Linked DNA regions of Drosophila melanogaster. The gene in region 1 interacts genetically with each later gene. Each region holds a gene or a part of one and is shown in the gene's direction. Other genes may lie near its edges.

Region 1 (4,579 bases):
TCGTTTGAAAGTCAGCACAAACCCCCCGCCCCCGTCAACGGACCCGTTCAAAGACGCTGCCATAACTTGTACACATGTATAATATAAATTAACAAACCGCTCCATCGTGTTATCAACGACATAGATAATAACACGCCCAGCGCAGAGCCTGAAAAACTGAAAAGCTGAAAAACAGTTACTGTTACAAGCTAATAATAATAACAAGAGTGAGTGCCTTGCCTTTGACCAGCCGGAGACGACAACAACGTTTGATGTTGTTGGTGGAGACGGTGACATCAGAGTCTAAATCTAGCGCGAACAGATTTCTTTTAATTCCGTAAACTAAGTGGACAACGCACCGTACTCGTACCGCACTCGTTCCGTACTCGTTCTCGTACTCGAAGTCGTATTCCTATTCCTCCGGGCGGGCATACTCGTGAATAGCGAAACCTAAAGGAAATCTACGAAAAAAAAGCTGGCTGCATGAAAAACATCACCAGCTCGAGCACTTGCAGCACTGGGCTGCTGCAATTGCAGAACAACCTGAGCTGCAGCGAGTTGGAAGTTGCCGAGAAGACAGAACAACAGGCAGGTCCGTTGCCCATCCGAATTACCCAGTCATACAAAGACACACCTCGTAAATCCAAACTCTATGCCATAAACCTACAACTCCACCCCCACCCCACACACCCACTCCACATCCAGCGCCCAAAAGTTTGTCGATCTCTGGTTTTTCTTTGGTGACTTTCCTCGTGGGTTCTCAATGCAAAGCACATGCACATGCATGGCGGGTTTTCATTTGAGAAAGTCACCCGAAAACGGAGACCTGAACTGCAGGGCACCTTCTCTCCATCGCTATAGAGTAAACTCTCCACCCATCTGCACATATCTCATACATATCGTACATGTAAACCATACATACATACATACATACATACATACATACCCAAATCTAAATCTAAGCGTTCTAAATCCGAAAAGAGAGGGCAAGCTGCCACCAACTTTCGATTGCCAAGATGAATAATTCAATGGATTAGTCAGGTTTAAGATAACACAGTGGTTCTTATAAGATGAATGGGGGGGGGGGGGGGGGTTAGCTCGAAAATATTTTGCCAACCGAGCGGATTTCGAAAAGAGCTTTTCTCGCATGTGTTGTTCATTTTGCACAGCATTGCATAATCTTATTTTTGGCCAGAAGCTTGTAAATGCAGTGTGGGAGACAATTCGCAGCACAAAAAAATCATATACATACGGATTTTGTCGATCTGGATTTTGGCGAAATATGTTGACATGTCCACGCGATCTGCTGTTTTACGATATATTTATTACCTCAGTTTAAGAGCCATCAACTTGTCTGCTGTTCACATATACATAGATACACATTATGAAAAGATATATGTACATATGGACATATACTTTTATTTTTATTACTTTACTGGCAATAGTGAGCAACGAAGACTAATCGAATAGCTGAATGTCCTATTGGAATCATTAAAAAAAAAAACCTGAAAAAGATTTGGTATACTTGTGGGCATTGTTTGCCACAACACTTGTTCGCAACTTGTCGGTTTTAAACAAAAACTTTCAAGCAAAACTACAATAATTCACTTACTATTTTTACTTCTGAATCGCATTCTACGAAATGAATTTTCTAAATGAGCTGTGTATATTTACAATAATATCGTAATACCTTTCTGCAAACAACGCAACTATTGATAAGTGATAAAAGAAAATGAAGTGAAAACAATGAAAAAGTCAACTTGGACAAGCCGAACACCATATACTCTACGAGTTACAACCAAAATGTATTACTCACGTTGGTATATGACCAGTTGCTATCACAGCTATGGGCTTCTGTAGCCTACGGAATGAGTATGTCATGAGTCATTGGCGAATATCTTTAAGAGCAACGAAAACATATCCGATTGTGATAAAGTTAATCGCAGTTACTTAAAAAAAAAAACAGCAAGCTCAGCCCATTTAGTTGACCGATCGTTCTTATGACTGCTGCGTTACTTACTCAATAAGTAAGTACTTACTCAATTTCCAGCATATCAATGAATGATAAATTTGAAGAACTTTTAGCAAATTATGAGTTCTTTACACAATTATGGTTTTCTGCCTTAAATTTCCTATGTTAAGTTAAACGTACGTAATTTTCCAACAATATTTGAACTATATAAACTTCAAAAGGCTTTCGGAAAATTTAAAGTTTAGTCACCTGTTTTAGCTTAAAATATCCTATATCCGATCAAAATCGTAAATATATCTAATGAACCATTCTAGTTTTCACTTCCTTCGCACATTTGTTGTCTATTTTCTAGCTGCCTGTTCTTAAACACTTGCTCTTAGAAAAGTATTTCGTAATTTCATTATTCCTTTATGTTCATTATTAACATTACCTCACATAATTTCATTAAAAGCTAAGAGGACAAAAGATTTATTATTAATTATTTTGTCGTTGCACCTCACAGAAATTCCTTTTTAACCTTTGCCAGGTTGCAAATTCGTTTGTGCTGACTTCTAAAGATTTTCGGCAGCAGAAAATGGGAGTGCGTTGCTTTAGGGGTTGAAATAATGAAAGGGCAGCGCACCGAACTCTATATGCCCTATGAATAATCAATGAATTAATACGTGTACAGTGTTTCGCTTAAGACAGTTTAAGTTCTATAGTGCAATTGTGAATAATTAAAATTTTTTACAGATCGTTATGCTGATTGAAAATATATTTGTACACTTTATAGGGTTAGAATCGCCACCTTAATTTCCTATAAAACTCTATTGACTTGGGAATAATTTGAAGACCTAAAAAATGATCTCTACATCATGTGTATTGATCTGTATTTTATGTAACCAAAAGATTATCCTTTTGATAGCACCTTCACACGAATATAGGATATATATGCTATACTAAACATATTGTCAATAATTTGATAATGCATTGCACTGTCCTTTTATATTATTTGTCACTAAAAAGATACGAACAATAATTTTTACCTGTTACGGTTTTCTGCTGAAAGTCAAAGTGCGTTTGGCTGTGTAGGGATTGCGGATCCCAACTTTGATCCTGAGTGCGCTAAGTACGTCATCATCGAGCTCCTTACCATCCCATCCAGGCACATTCTTCGTTTATATATGTATGTATGTATATGTATGTATAAGCGGATATATATATATGTATGTACATTATGTATGTGTATGCGACGGGGCATACATAAAGAAAATGAAAAAGCAGAATGCATACCATAAATTCCAATTGCCGCACAACAAAATTGCGGCTTCTAAGGGTAGGAATGGAAAAGGCAGGAAAAAGAACACACATTCCCTTATTAAAACCGAACAGAACTGAACAGAACGAGCAGCTGCGTGTTGAGTTTTCGAGGCGGAAATTGAGTTCAAGCGTAGGAAAGTCTGTTTCTAGTTTTTCTAATTGGAAATTATCCCGAACTGAACCGCTGCTGTTTGAATTCAGAAATTCTGAAATGCCATGTGATAATATTAATGCACGGTTCAGCTATTTTGTCCGTTTCATTACACTCCTTTTCGTCCTTTTGTGTGTGAGTGTGTGTGTGTGTGTGTGTGTGTTTGTGTGCGTGGAGTGCTTACGAGATTATGAAAAATGGCACATTCACCCCCTAAAACGATCCCAACCCCTGCACTGCGCCATGCATTTCCAAGCTGTGCAATATGCATTCTACTTTTTTGATAGCCAAACATACAGTCGTTTCCGTTTCGGGAAATTCTGGTATTGTGCCTAGGATAGAACTGGGATCGAACTGTCCCGACTTGTCCTGGATACTGGCGAACTGCTTCCATACGACGCCATTCTATTATTAACTACACCCATCTATACCATACTTTATTAAACTGAACTAAGTCCAGTTTCTTCTTAATATAGCAGATTAACTATGCAGTACTATACCATTATTTACTCTACTAACTACCATTGCAAGCTACATAGCTGACTACAAACTACTATTGCCTATTATACCATATATTCCATACCTTACACTATAACATTCTATTCCTTATCATATCATATATGGATACCATAGCATACCATGCCTCTGATCCTTGATAGTGTTGACTCGCCCCCTGTCTGAAGTTCCGTAGCACACCTTTACCTATGCTAGACTATAGACTATACCATACCATACCATGCCATACCATACTATACCATACCATACCATATCATACCCCTGCTGACCCAGACTCTCACTTGACGCCCCACACTGCAGGCTGGCTATTTGAAGGCTTCTACTTCCATTCTATTTTATTCTATCAATAGTACGCTGCGAGGGTATGTGCCACACTGCATTCTATCCGCTGTCTCACGAATACGAATGCCTAGAGCAACCATCCCTATAGGTTTATATGGGCGAAACACCAGGGGCAGAAAAGGAACCGGCCAAAACAAAGAATAGAAATATGTGGAAACTATACGGCACATTTCAGTTTGACGTGCGCGTTTCTCTTAACCAGACGCATTTTAGTTTTTGTTTCTTTGCCGCTGCCGTCCGGGATTGTTTTTTTTTTTTTTCACGCTGTGTGGAAGAAGCAAGGCGAATACAAAACAAAAATAAATTACAAAATAATTGAA
Region 2 (5,043 bases), on another chromosome or scaffold:
CACGGCGCACCGGAATCTGCGCAACTCCATGCATCAAGTGCTCGAAATTGCGACGCGCCTCATCCAAAACTGCGGGTGACAGAATGGTGGGAAATCCGGATCGACGCTCCTTGGGAGAGGTCTCCGGCTTGGGAGCAGTGTGATTCTGTCCAGTCTCGCAGCAGTAGCCGAATTTTCCAGCCGGGAGATCGCAAATTTGGGGCTTTTCATGGCTTTCCATGCGAACGTGGGCGGGACACTGGATTTGGGGCACGCATCTTATACCATCGCTGCAGGGAAGGCATTTTTTCAGCAGACCACTGGTAGCTACACAGAAAGACCAAATTTGTACAATTTACGAAATAAAAATAACCATAAAAATATAATTTTAAAATTGAAGAAACAATTATACTTTTATATTATATTGTATTTAATTTTACAAAAATTTGATTTTGTTAATTATGTAAATATGAAAGTTTTTTATGCAGTTGTTTTCAGTGTAGAGCGATTAACCGTAACTTATATTCACAGAGAGCGGACAAGAACACTTTCACCCTTTACGCCATTTTGAAATTGCCGAGATATTCAATTTATATCACTAAACGTACATATGTAACCAACCTTTTTCGGGTTTCTTAGAAGATTCAGTGGAAGTGGCCAGAGGTGCAGGAGTCTGCAAATCAGGAACTTCATCAAAACGATTTTGGCGCACAGAAAATGCTGCCGCCTGCAACTCGCTCAGTTGCGTCACAATAAGTAGCAACAAAATAAATAAAATGCGACTCATTATGCGTTTAATGAAACATTTGTTGGCTTATACTTAAAAAAGAATCGACAAGCTCAACCTAATCGTGTTAAATTGAACTTAAAATGCCGCCATTTTGCACTCGATACCAGGAATGCTCGATATCACAGCAAGTCGAAAGCAGTGTACTGTAATTCTCGTACGTGTGCTGTTAATGTCAGTAACATTTTACTGTTAAGCGCAACTTCTCTTATTAGCAAATTGTGCAAGCAGTTCAAAAAATAAAAATGTTCAATATAGAATTTCATTAATATTATAAAAAAATAAACAAATATTTTTTTAGTTGATATCCTTGGCAAAAAATATTTTTAAAACCTATGAGTAAAAATCCGGAAGCCAGTAAATCGAAAACCTAGTGTTCTACCAAAATAAATTTAATAAATTTTAACAATGTTTGTGACAATGATCAATGCATAGGGCGACTATTGATATTTAGAGTTTCACAAAAATTAAAATGTATTGCATCAATTAAAATTAATAAAAGAATTTGTTTTTGTGGATTAATTACGTTGATGTTGTTTACGTCTATTTTAAAATTGCTTATGCCGGTAGTTTTGTATGGAATCGATAATAAGCAAACCAAAAATCACGAATATATCGATGTTTAAACTCGCTGTAGTTGCATAGTTCTGCCACTCTAAATTCAAGTGGTTTGTTAACGGGGGTATAAACTTTCAAAATTGTATTTACTCTCTTATAACTTACCAAAATTTTATTATTATTATATTATTGCAATTATTGCAATTTTGCAATTTACCTTAAAAACTTTAAATTGACGTATTTCTAAAACGAAAGCGCTGGCCACGAATAAGGCTTTCTAGTTTTTATAACTTTTACATCTTCACAAACTTTTACGTGCTTTTATTCGAAAAAAATGGAAAATTTTAGCACGCCGTTTAATTTGAGTTAAGTTTCCGTTTAAAATACCGCAATAAAGATGGCGTCCCAGAGTAGCGAGAAATCGATATCGATGCCAACTCATTTTTGCGTCACACTCAAATATCGCTAATTCGCCAGCTATTGATTACCATATATATTTAAAAAGCGAACCAGAACGTAAAATAAATATTCATTGAAGTCCAATAAATAAAAATAGTATAAAATATGGATAAAGCGATAAAATTTCGTGCTAGAGCTATCGGGGGCTATCGAAACGAGCACCGATAATGTATCGCAGTGCCAAATACTCGTACGTATCGATACTATCGTGCGTGCTACCCGCTCTAATCTTGTACAGGCTCGCTTCTTCGTCATGCTGCGAATTTGTTCGAAAAATAAGTGAAATACAGCGCATTAATAGTGAAAAGTATGTGCAGCCTGTGCAGGGCCCAACTGGCGATTAGCCGCGTGTGATTGTGGCCGCCGTATCAGCGTTTTGGCAGCGCCCAGCCTGGCGAAAAACCATCGAAAAAAAGAAGAGAAAAGAACGCCAGGCGCAGACAGACAAGACTTGCATACACTACTACTTGAATCGTTTCATTTCGTTCCGTTCGTATACCGAGTTTGCTGCCCTGTCCCTGTCTTCTCACGCGAGTTCGTTTTTAGTATATATAGCCAGTCTGTGGACGGTCGTCAATGCGTGAATATTCTTCTATGTGTAAGTGGTGTGCGTGTATGTAGATTTCTGGTTAAGAAAAGCCCCAAAAACCAAAGCGCCCCGCAAAATATATATTGAGTCTTCTTGGCCCAACAACAAATCTGCCGCCGGACTTTCGCCCGAGGGCGAGTGAAAAATTCAGTTTCTCTCCTCTCGACGATGCACTTTGGAGGCTGTGTGAGTGTGTGTGCGAGTGAGTGCGTGTGTGTATACATATGCAAATGATTGGATGTCGAATCCTTGCATCATCATCATCTTCATAAACACTTGGCGAAAAACCGCAGGAAAACGCAAGCAGCCGAACAAAAAAAGAGAGCCTCTCAAGACAACGGCAGCGGCCAAAAGTGAACGCGCAACAAACGCGGCCAAGCAGGCGCGGCAATTATTTATAAATCTTAAGCGTTAGCCCCCCTCTCTCTCCCACTCACGAAAAGAAAATAAGTTAAACAATTGTGAGATGATGCCCCCTCGTCCATTCCATTCCAGTGCTGTGTAAACGCGAAAAATCGGCATAGAAAATAATTACGAAAAAATCATTACTGTGCTGCCCGTTTCATTCGTTTCACACAGAAACTAATAAAGCGAGCAAGGGAGAGAGTGAGCGAGCGAGCGAGAGCGCCATATGCCTTCAGCCTGGATGGCGAGCAAGTGCAAGTGAGACGGAAAGGGATACGGCGTGTGCGTGTATAGCCGCCAAATGTGAAAAGAGAGAGCGAGAGCGCCAACGAGAGTGGATGCGCTCAAACTGCGAGAGCGGTTGCGGCAGGGTTGTCAACGCACTACGATTTGCCCACCGTACGCGGCGGAAAATAAATTGTTGTGGTATTGGTGCTGCCTGTTCGAGTGAGCATGTGTGTGCGTGTGTTAGTAGCGGACTTTTCAATACACAACAGCCCACGAACGAGTACAAATTATTTATGTTTAACCCGCTCGATTTAGGCCCAGTGATATAGGACTGCCCCCTTTAATAAGCCAGACCCCCTTTGCCAAATGCTAATCCCCCGTTTTTGATAACTTGCAGCTAACATAACCTCAAACTCGCCGCTGCAGTCGTCGTCATCATCAGCGTCAGCGTTGTTGTTGTTGGTGGTTACCGGTGTTCCATCAGTAGCCGCCACACATCTGGGAAAATCCGATCCGGAAAATCTGGGAGATCGGGAGCAGCGCAGCCAGAAGCCGATGAGCAGCCATGAATGAGAAAATAAAGTCGCCGCAAACACAGCAGCAGCAGCAAGGTGGCGCTCCCGCCCCTGCTGCCACGCCCCCATCGGCTGGAGCGGCTCCTGGTGCCGCTACACCGCCAACCTCGGGCCCGCCCACACCCAACAACAACAGCAACAACGGTAGCGATCCCAGCATCCAGCAGCAACAACAAAATGTTGCCCCACATCCATACGGCGCACCACCGCCCCCAGGATCTGGTCCTGGAGGACCACCAGGACCGGACCCAGCTGCAGTCATGCACTATCATCATCTGCACCAGCAGCAACAGCAGCATCCGCCACCACCCCATATGCAGCAACAGCAGCACCACGGCGGACCTGCACCACCACCGCCCGGAGGAGCACCTGAGCATGCGCCCGGTGTCAAGGAGGAGTACACTCACTTGCCGCCGCCTCATCCACATCCGGCGTATGGTCGCTACCACGCCGATCCCAACATGGATCCATATCGCTATGGCCAGCCGCTGCCAGGTGGAAAGCCTCCACAACAACAACAGCCACATCCTCAACAGCAACCCCCGCAGCAACCGGGGCCCGGTGGCTCACCTAATCGTCCGCCCCAGCAGCGCTACATACCCGGTCAGCCTCCGCAGGGACCCACGCCAACGTTAAACTCTCTGCTTCAGTCCTCGAATCCGCCGCCTCCGCCGCAGCATCGCTACGCCAACACCTACGATCCCCAGCAGGCGGCCGCTTCGGCGGCAGCGGCAGCGGCGGCTCAGCAACAGCAGGCCGGTGGACCCCCTCCACCAGGACATGGACCGCCGCCACCGCAGCACCAGCCATCGCCGTACGGAGGGCAACAGGGCGGCTGGGCACCGCCACCAAGGCCCTACAGTCCGCAACTGGGACCGTCACAGCAGTACAGGACACCACCACCGGTAAGTGATCAAAAAGGGGATATTTGGGGATAACAAGGATAACATGCTTTTTTGGGATAGAAAAGTTGTAAATTGAAAGGTATATTTAGTTGCGTTCACGAGAAATCATTGCAAGTCCATAAAAATGTTTGAAAGTTCTGTAGATACAAGATATTGTGGAAGATACATCTAAAAGTCAAGAGTATTCGGCTTAAATAGTCTCCGAACTTGAAATAGTTGTAAATACTTTGTTCCGGTGTAATACGTTGTTTAGGAATGCCTTGAAGTATTTACCAAAAGCAGTGTTTTTATGATTCGTTTTAATTCACAGCTTCCGAAAATAGAAAATGCGGTTGTCTTTTCAAGTTATAGTATCTTATTTCATATTTATTCTCAATATTGCGGGGGCAACCTTCGGCTTTAAAGTAACGAAAAACTGGATGGTAGCTTAAACGCCTTCCAGGATAGAAACTTAATGAAAAGGACACAATAAATGTTGTGTATTCTGTAACAAAATAACCATTTTCCGAAAAGAATATTAAATGATCTAGTTGTTGCACCAGAAATGGTGTCATTGTG
Region 3 (4,900 bases), on another chromosome or scaffold:
TCGGGAATCAAGCATAGCATAGCTCTCTCGAATGGTTGCCTAAAAATAAACCCTCAGTAGCTAGTTACTTTGGGGCCCCAAACTGTCCTTGGCTTTGTTTCACGCCCCATTCCACATGCACTAGAGACTATATAAAACATATACCATTGCTTTTTTCGACCGGCAGGCCTGAATCTCACGAAAGACACCCGCGATCGCTGCACCAAGGCGGGAATCACTGGCTGGGTGAAGAACAGCAAACAGGGCACCATTGTGGGCAAGATGCAGGGGCCCAAGGAGGAGGTGGACAAGATGTGAGTAAACCGGAATAGTTTACACTCTCCATGCTAATATTTTCTGATTAAATCTACTCTTAGGATCACCTGGCTGTCCACTGAGGGCTCACCCGGCTGCCAAATCGATCGCTGTGAGGTCCGGAACCAGGGCAATCTCAGCCGACTGGACTACAAGGACTTTGCCATTAGGTTTTAGATGTGGTCCGGTTTGTGTGGCCTTATAGTTTTGTGTGTTTGTTTTGTGCATTACTTGGCTAAGTTTGTAAATACGAGTAAATAATAAAGAATTTAATCATAATTTGCCTTCACATTTACTTTTGCTGGCAATACAAGATAGCTCTAAATTAAAACGCCTTCGTGCACGTACGTAGACTGAAATCTATTTAGTTTTCAATACAGAAGCGCAACTCTTGTTCTACAACATCATTTGACTTAGACTACTTGTGTTTTGGGATAACATAGCCTAGCAGGACTGGAAACGACCGGCGGCCTTCATGCGCTCGAAGGACTTGTTGGCATCGTACTTCCTGCAGGGATAATGGATAAAACAGATCAGATGATGACATTCATGTGGCATAGTTAAGCTATATTTACGAGTAGAAGTCGGCGTAGGCGGCCTTCTTGGGATCGTTGACCAGAATTTTGTAGGCGATGGTCACCACGGCGGTCAGGCCCAGGGAAACGGCCAGGTTGCGCTTGATGGTGGCATTGTGGAGGCCACGGAGCACGGGTCCGGCAGAGGAGGTGGCTGGAGTGTTGGCCATGTCGCTGAAAAGAATGAAAATCACAAAAATCAATTATATTGCTCGGTAGTTACGTAAGGTGCTCAAAGGCAGCTGCCATTAAACGCATAGCAACTAATGAATTCTCCCCAGAAATTTATGGAGTTGATATGGCCAACTGGTATGATATTTAATTACTTTTTTTAAGTTCCAAAACCCCTTGAACCGTGTTTTTTAAAGAAAAACCTTGTTATGTACTCACATTTGCAAATTCAGAATCTGAGATAGAGATGGAACCTAAAACAAATTCTATTCAATACTATCGTTTATTCGAAGAAGGTGGCAGCATTCGCGAAATTATCGATTGATCTTTGGAAAATAAATAATAAAAATATATATTAAAAAGCACTCCTAGACAATTTGACAGAATCATTTCATTTAATAATAAAATGATTTTGAGGCTAAATACGCAGAATTAAGAGAAAAGTGTGTTAAGTAATAACTTTTCAAATTTTTCATCTGGAAGCTATGAGGCCAGCTAAAATCAATAGTTTAAAGCAGGAAAAATATTTGTGAATGAAATTTATATATTGAACATGTTCAAATTATGTTACCATTATATTTATGATTGCTAAACATGTTTAAAAATAAAAGACAATATAGCAATACAATTTATTTATAAATTTATTAGCACTAATTAAATAAAATTACAATTTCCAAACAATTGACAACTCTGCTCGAGCCAAATTTCCAATACAGGCTACTTCGCAGCCCTGGTAACCACAAATATGTCGGGAAATTTAGGGAATTTCGGGCCGCGGACGTCTGGCAACACCGGCTGGAAAATAAAAATGGCTACCACTGTGTGCTTGTTATTGTTCGTGGAAATTTAATAATTACGAAGTTTTTTGTACAAAATAAACAGGATAAACGCATCGTTGCAACGCCAATTGATGGTTGAAAAACAAGCGCGAATCTTTCGACAGCAATCAGTGCGTTTATCAAGTGCCCGCACGCAATCGAACCGTGTGAAATTAAGCCCCCGAAAATCGGCTGCCCGAATGCGTGAAAATTTTCGAGTTCCGCTAAACAGGCATTACTATTTGGCCAGCGATTGTGAAATGGAGAACAGTGGGGGCCCAAACGTATTCAGTTTGCCCTAAACAACAATTGAAAAGCGGGCACGCAAGATTTCCAGCAGGAAAAGCGCTTGAAAAGTGACGCAGGAAAATCCGTATCCGCGCCCCGCACGTGTGTGTGTGTGAGTGTGTGTGTTGCAGTGCATGTGAGTGTGTGTGTTGGTGAGGCTACTACTAAAAAAAAAAGTAAAAAGCAAAAGGGGAGAAGAGAAAAAAATAATAGTGGAAAATGCCCAAAAACCCAAGTCGCAGAGGTTAAAAACTGAGTGCGGATTACATCGAAAGACAATAAACCGAAGCCATCGAGTGTCAAGCCTATAATGCAATTGGTCCAACAATTTCAATCCAAAGGACGCCACGGCGGTCAATCGAAAGCTAAATGCGAGAATTGAGCAGCGTTCTAACAATTAAACCTACGACGCGTGCGATTGTCGTGTGATGATATGCCACTTAAACAGGTGAGTTTATCGTGTTTCGCTTTTTGGTGGAGCGCAACGGAACAGCTGATTTGCGATTATTGCACTTCAAGTGGGCTTCTTTTTCCCCCCTTTTCTTGTCTGTTTTTGCCATCGCTTTTGCTCATTTTACACTTGCGTCACCCACGCACTCAGAGACGGGTATAAAAACAAAAACAATAGGCGGCGAAAAGGGTGAACTAATTGGTTGGCTTCGAGTGTATAGAATCTCGCATTTCCCGTGTTTATTTTTTCATCTCTCTTTTTCGGTTCCCCCTTTTTTATTTTATTAATCAGCCCGCCCCCTTTTTACCCCCCGCCTTAGTGCCAAGCAAGTATTTTGGTTACCTTTTCCCTCTGCCACACACACACACTTGCCCAACCAGCACACGTACACGAGCAAGCACGCACACCGGCGCACCGCCTTCCAAGAGGCCAAGAAGAAAAATGGCGACGACGTCGGGGTATCGATAACACGTCCCGCAGAGAGAAAAGGAAAACGCACGCACGCATGAGAAAATGCAACCTGTGGGCACCAGCTGCCCCGACCCGCTCCGCCCCCTTTTGGCATGCCGCGCGTGGAAAATGCAGTCAGCTGAATTGTCTTTTGGGTTACTCAATTCAAGCGCATTATCTTTGGGGACTGTTGTCGAAACAAATTGTTGTTGGAATTTCCAACGAGTGCCCTATGGCCATCCTGCTCTAGCGCCAGAGACCGCAGGGTCAAAAACAAAACGAGAAATGCAAATAACATATGCAATATATAAAAATAATTAGATTCAAGTATGGCAGATCTAGTGAAGGTAAATTATAAGTTAAATAATTAAGGTTTGGAATTGTGTTTGGCCATAAATTAGGCGTTTCTATGTTTGCGTGTCGTAAACCAGGGCTGCAAACTCTCGCTGCATAGATATCGATAACAAAATAGTGGCCATCGCCAGCAATTTCACTATCCCTCTTCTTCTTTCTCTTCCTATACGGCTCCTTAAATGTTAATTAAATGTTGTAAATTTGCAAAATGTCTCACATGTGTGCCACTTTGCAGCAGCTTGAACCGTCACTGGTGCGGATATTGGTCTCGCTACCCTGGGACGCAGCACAACGGCTGCGCCAGCTGGCCAACGATGGAAATCCGGAGCTGCGCGCCCTCAACATTCAGTCAGTGCAATTCGAGGGCGATTCTGTGATAAATTTGAAAGTTGGTGGACAAGATATTAAGATAACCAAGGGTGAGTAATGGCAACAAATGTCCACTAAACGAGCAATTAACCTGAGTAATCCCTACCCGCAGATAATGTAAACGAGACACTTGAGGCGGCTGGCTCGCTTTCCGGCAACAAGAGTGGTCTGCTGGCCACGGGATTCGATGGCCCCAGTACGAGCAAGGCGGCATCCGCCTTTATGCAACAGCAGCAGCAGCGAATCCTGCAACAGCCCCAAAACGATGCAATCTCACTCCAGCAAAGAAGAGCAGCGGCGGCGGGCCTGGGACTTCAGAAGATGCCCCTCCACACCACGCAGCAGCAGCAGCAACAACAGCAGCAGCAGCAGGTGGCCGTGACACCCGCCGTCTTTAAATCCCCCAATACTGTATGTCCCATGGAGGGCAAGGTGCCGTTGCTGCTGCCATCACCGTCCGCCACGCGCGACTTTCCCTTCGAGAGCATGCGGCAGGCGAGAGTACTGCAAGGTCGAGAGGCGGGCGGTCTGGGTCCGCCCCTACCGCCACCTCCTCCGCCAAATGTAACTCTAAAGGTGCTGAAGACGCAACAGCAGCAGGCACCTCAGAATGGCGAACTGACACCCACAACGCCAACGTCAGCTGCTCCAACGCCGCCGGGCAGCAAATCTCAGTTCATCCAGCCACCACCGCCGCCATATCCGGGTTTGGGAGCTGCAACGGCCAGCAGCGTCAGTTCACCCATTGCCATAGCGGGCGTTAGTGCCAAGCCAGCCATTGTGACGGCACCCAGCCAGCTTAACCATCCGCTTGGGCATCCGCCGCTGCCTACGGCGACTTCGACGGGCAGCAACAACATTGCCATATCGTCGCCGCTGCTTGTGAATCTGCTGCAGAACGACGGCAATGGCATGTCGAATCCGAACCAGCTCAAGTCGCCCCAACAGCAGCAGCAGCAGTCACCGCTGATTGGTATGAGCCCCAGTGGAGCGCAGATGATGAACTCCCCTATGCGATCCTCCGGCCCGGCGACGCCAAGCGATTTTCTTATGGGCGACGTACTGAGTCCGGTGGTGCCTTCCTCACCCACAACGCCCCAGGCGGCGGCTCCTCCTTGCCCGCCGCCCGT
Region 4 (4,655 bases), on another chromosome or scaffold:
CCCTTAATATAAACAAAAAGTTATTTACGACCAATTTATCGACACAGGGTTCTCGGAGACTCAAGTCGAACGCGACCCGTGCTCTCCCTCGATGCGGAGTCTGCTTCGCCAGCGGCGCCGCCTGATTACCTAACCATACTGACCAATCCGGCTGGCAGTAGTTTCAACGCGGATCCTTCGCCAGCTTCCAGCAGCAGTCCCGAGTCCATAGAGATCGACCAGCGACCCGTTGGCTACTCCCAACGCTCGCAATCGTTGGGCAGGAAACTGCATCGTTCGGGTGCTTCGACACTGGAGAGGCGGCCCTATACGGCGGAGGATGTGGTGACCATACTGCGCTCCTCGGTGCGACATCGCCAGTCGCAGGGAGGCGGAAATTTGGTCACTGCCAGCACCCTGCCTCGCCCCCCAACCGCCGCCATGTCCACGCACTTGGAGGACGCCTCATTCCGATCCATAGAGAATCTTGTGCTGAATGCCGAGCCACCGGACAGAACGCCCGGTGTGGAGCTGGAGCTCGAATTGGAGGCTGGACAGGCGGAGGAGTGCGCGCGAAATAATACATCTGTGATTTAACTGACTAATATCGTACCGTACATAGCGTAACTCTTATGCGATCCACATATCCGCTTGCTTTCTTAGACTTGATTAGCGCTAGTTATCTAAATACGAATATTACCTTGTAGTTATGCGAATAATAACGAAAACAACTAGTTGGTACTCCCAAGTGTGAGCTCTTTTGATCCCTACAACCGGTATTCCCAGTTCGATCCAACCCACCCCATTTAATTCCATTTCACATATATTTTAGGCTTACGGATCGCGCCTGTCTGCACAGTTGCCCTTAAAATTATCCCAACAATGGAGTAGGCCTCCTACGTGCCCAGCTCTCGAGGGTCAGCTATTTAAGGGAATACGTACTTGGGCCCTAAGCCGATTAACAAACGTGACCAGTTGAATAAAAAAAGTGAAAATAAACGGAAGTCCAGGATGGCGTAGCCAACAAAGGCGCCTAATGAGGCGGGCCAGGAAGTTGCTGCATATTTCGATTAAAATGTCACGCCATTTCTTTTGTTTTCTTTGTGACTTGCATATTCCAAAGGGATTGGCCTGCAAAAAAGTTAATCCGCGGAATTTTTAAATCAGCACGAATTGGCGGTTATTATTTTAATATCTGGCAGCGCTGGTTCAAAGAACCAGTTCAAATGGGTTGAGTCTCGGCTAGAACTTTTGTGAAGTTCACACAATAATTGATACCGTTATTTTTACTTATAATTAGTAATTTTAATGCTAGAAATACATAAATAACAATTGAGACCTATATAAAAGCAAGTGATAAGGGTTCTTATACAAGCCAATGTGTGTAGTACAACTACTCTATAATTTGGGATGATAGTTATAAAGTTTTAAATAAATATATATTTTCATGAAAATATTATCAACACTTTAATAATGAACGAGTTTTTGGACCCTTATTAACCATAATATTTGAAATTTAAGTTGGAACAAGAAACTTTTAAACTGTTGGCGAACGCGGTATTTTTTAGGCCCTTCTTGCCGGGTGAGGTTACTCCTGCATCTGGTAACACTGCTCGGCAGCGAAACAGAAACATAAAAAATTCGAACGGCGACGAGAGCGGTCAGACGCACGCATCACTTTCAATCGCGTCGCGTAGAGCGTCCAAAAAGAATTATAGTATAAACCAAGAGTGAAGATTCCGGTGAGCAAAGAATTTGCAATTGCCAAACTTAAGCAAAAACCATAAAGTGTGCATTGGCAATTGAAGTCGCGCGTTCTTAGCCAATCCACATTTGCACGGCCATTTTAAAGCCAAGTTAAGGCCAAAGTTTTCTGCCGCGCCGTCTTCGTAAGTCGCAGGTCGAAAAGTGCTCAAACGAGATTTCCACTTGAAATTCCTGAATTTCGTTTGTCTGCGCGAATCGCATCGAATCGAATTGAAGCACAAATCGCAGCAGCAGAAAAGCGCAAAAGTCGAATTTAAATTCCGTCTGCAAAGTGCCGAAAATTAGTGTCTTTGTTGTGTTAGTGTTTTGTTTCTTTGTCTGTGTGGGTGTTACGATTACGATTGGATTAGCGGTGTTTTCGCCTGATTAAAACGGTAAGTGTCCTTGCGATAATCCTGCGTGCAAAGTTAGTTAGCTGGTGCCAAGTTCGCTCGCCACTCACACACCTCCACCGCCGCCACTCACAACTTATTTTGCTGCAATTTGCTCTAGTGTTTTGTATTAGCATTTTTATGTCCCGCCTCGCCAAAGTTGACAAACAAAAACGTACACACACACACATACACGCACCGACACGTAAGCACACGCACACAAAGGATTTCATTACATTTTGGGTGGGACGTAACGGTAACGTTGAAGTGTAACGTATAACCCTCCCCTCGTTCTATCTCTTTCCCGCCCAAAGCCCCGAATGCTGTGCTACCGAATTTGTTTTCGCCTTCGCTCAGTTCTGTTTTCTCCTGTTTTTATTTATTTTGATGGCGTATTTTGCCATTCCGCTTTGTTCGTATTGCGTATCCTGTCGCCTGCGCTATCCTTCTACAGTCGCATCTGGCTAGAAGGAACTATCGTGTGCCTCAGTCACATGAAAAATATTACACTTACGTAGGTGATTTGATTTTTAAATGTATAAAGTCCCCTTCAAATTGCTAATTGAAAAATATATAAGTTCATGTACATAATCTTATTATGTCATCAATTAGAACCACAACATCTTTGGTTTCCCATTAGTATTTATAGTAACATTTTCTGAGCCCAGGGTATTCTGGTTTCACTGTACATTTTTCGCTGTCAGCTTTTCTTCCTAGTTTCTGCCAGCATTGAAATGAGTTCGCAATAAATATTGCCCAATGTCAAATAAAAGGGCGATGAGCCAGCCTTTTTCCGCCATGGCCCCTTTCCACCTCGGCCTATCTCCTCCATTCGCTCTAATCTCGGGGGACACTAATGCTTTACGACAATTCCTATGCCGTATGCCGCCCAGTACAAACTTAATGCACACATCAATGGCAAATTAGATATACTCCACAGCAAATGTACTAATAACAATCATCGAGTGCGTGTGCGGGCGGGCTTCCGATTCATCCCATACCATACCATACCATACGATACGATACCATCCCGAACCATTCCATCCCACACATACGTCCTCTCAAGACGATTGTTTTGTTGATTTGGCTGTTACTTCCAATACATTGGCATTTAAGGGGCAGAATTGGGATCCACTTATGTGCCTGCCTTATGTCTCATTTGTCGTCGGGCAAATGGAAATCGTTTTGTTTTTGCCTTGTCAAGTGACAAATTTTCATTGTCTCCCGCCACTAATCGCTTACTTAAAACAAAAAAAAAAACCAAAAAAATGAAGAAGATACCACGCCAAAGACTCCAAACAAGAAATAAGACAAGTGTAAATAAACACTTGAGGAGGAGGGAGCGTGGGATCGGGAGTCACGACTAACCGATATCCTCTGTACAGTGTGGGCGGGGGCATATACGCAATGACATTATCATAAAAGGTGCACATGCCAGAAGTTAAGTCGCGACAACTTTCCGTTATAACTTTCAATAACCTTTGTTGTTTGCTCCAATAAAAGCATTTTAATCGATACTCTTGACTTGTGTCAATCCATTCGGATTTGTTTTTGGTTACTAATGGATGTAATGTATGAAGTTATTGGGGCGGCATAAATTAAGAACTTATTTCCTTTGTGGATTTCACGTTACTAAACAGATGGTGATGTGACGCAAATGAAGTCCTAACAAAAGGATATTTATATATATGGTATTCTTTCGCCTAGCTATTTACCTGTATTTTCATATTTATAAAAATACTAAAAGGCCATTCATATTTTATATGGCGTGTGGTCTAATTACTTATTTTTATGACCTAGAGAAGCAAAGATTATAAATTAGCCGTTAAACATTCCTTTCCTCCATCGTACATACCTTTCGATACCCTGTAAATTCCAGTGTATGTACTTAGAGTACGCACACGTACTTGCCTCTTTTGGTGGCATTGCCCGCGGCACCTTCACTTGGCGCAGCTTGCCTTAATTTCCAGCGGACAAACCACTTTGTTATCGCCACGCCGAGGGCCCTTTAATCTCTGGTAGTCCCTGGTTGGCTGGTCAGACCCACCTCCATCTCCGTCGCCTGCCCATTGATTTACGTCTCTATTTTCCAAATGTAGCGCAATCGATTTAGATTGATTTTGTTTAAACAAACTGCACAGCGCAGCAGAAGCAGCAGCATAAAAGGCACCAGAAAGTGTAATAAATAATTGGAAACGGAATCGTTGGGCTGATTTTAATGCCAGCGTTAATTGCGAGAGCCACCCAATTTCATTTCCATTTCCATGCCCAATCGAAATCCAAATGCCATTCCCCAACCCTCCCCATACCTTCAACATTTTCATGCCGATGTAGCGATGCCCTAGGCCAATTCCAAATCCAAATCCAATTCCTATTCCTATTCCTATTCCATCGATGCTTTGGTAATTAGTTGTGAATTGGATTGGGGATCACATAAAAGTGTTGATTACACACTCCGATGGCTGCGCCCCCAGCCACGCCCCCTTCCCGGCTGGGTGCCAAGTGTTTTGTTTGTGTTTATCTCGTCTTCGACGTGTC

Evidence for each region.
Region 2: of sd (region 1) and osa, changing one enhances a phenotype caused by changing the other (phenotypic enhancement), as found in Drosophila melanogaster (one study listed by BioGRID).
Region 3: of sd (region 1) and Ncoa6, changing one enhances a phenotype caused by changing the other (phenotypic enhancement), as found in Drosophila melanogaster (one study listed by BioGRID).
Region 4: of sd (region 1) and sli, changing one suppresses a phenotype caused by changing the other (phenotypic suppression), as found in Drosophila melanogaster (one study listed by BioGRID).

What each region holds. Positions count from the first base shown.
Region 1 is NC_004354.4:15,813,725-15,818,303, forward strand, and holds the start of sd (scalloped), read left to right. Parts: upstream 1-1,574; 5' UTR 1,575-2,006; intron 2,007-4,426; exon of another isoform or gene 4,427-4,579. UniProt on the Drosophila melanogaster protein: Transcription factor which plays a key role in the Hippo/SWH (Sav/Wts/Hpo) signaling pathway, a signaling pathway that plays a pivotal role in organ size control and tumor suppression by restricting proliferation and promoting apoptosis.
Region 2 is NT_033777.3:17,715,294-17,720,336, reverse strand, and holds the start of osa (osa), read left to right. Parts: upstream 1-1,986; 5' UTR 1,987-2,381; intron 2,382-3,402; 5' UTR 3,403-3,570; coding exon 3,571-4,485; intron 4,486-5,043. Other genes in the region: Pxt (Peroxinectin-like), read right to left, coding at 1-306, 601-766. UniProt on the Drosophila melanogaster protein: Trithorax group (trxG) protein required for embryonic segmentation, development of the notum and wing margin, and photoreceptor differentiation. Required for the activation of genes such as Antp, Ubx and Eve.
Region 3 is NT_033779.5:5,323,646-5,328,545, reverse strand, and holds the start of Ncoa6 (nuclear receptor coactivator 6), read left to right. Parts: upstream 1-1,862; 5' UTR 1,863-2,579; coding exon 2,580-2,594; intron 2,595-3,636; coding exon 3,637-3,820; intron 3,821-3,882; coding exon 3,883-4,900. Other genes in the region: CG14022 (uncharacterized protein), read left to right, coding at 167-293, 357-471; cype (cyclope), read right to left, coding at 739-802, 870-1,039.
Region 4 is NT_033778.4:15,919,104-15,923,758, reverse strand, and holds the start of sli (slit), read left to right. Parts: upstream 1-1,640; 5' UTR 1,641-2,120; intron 2,121-4,655. Other genes in the region: bdg (bedraggled), read left to right, coding at 48-576.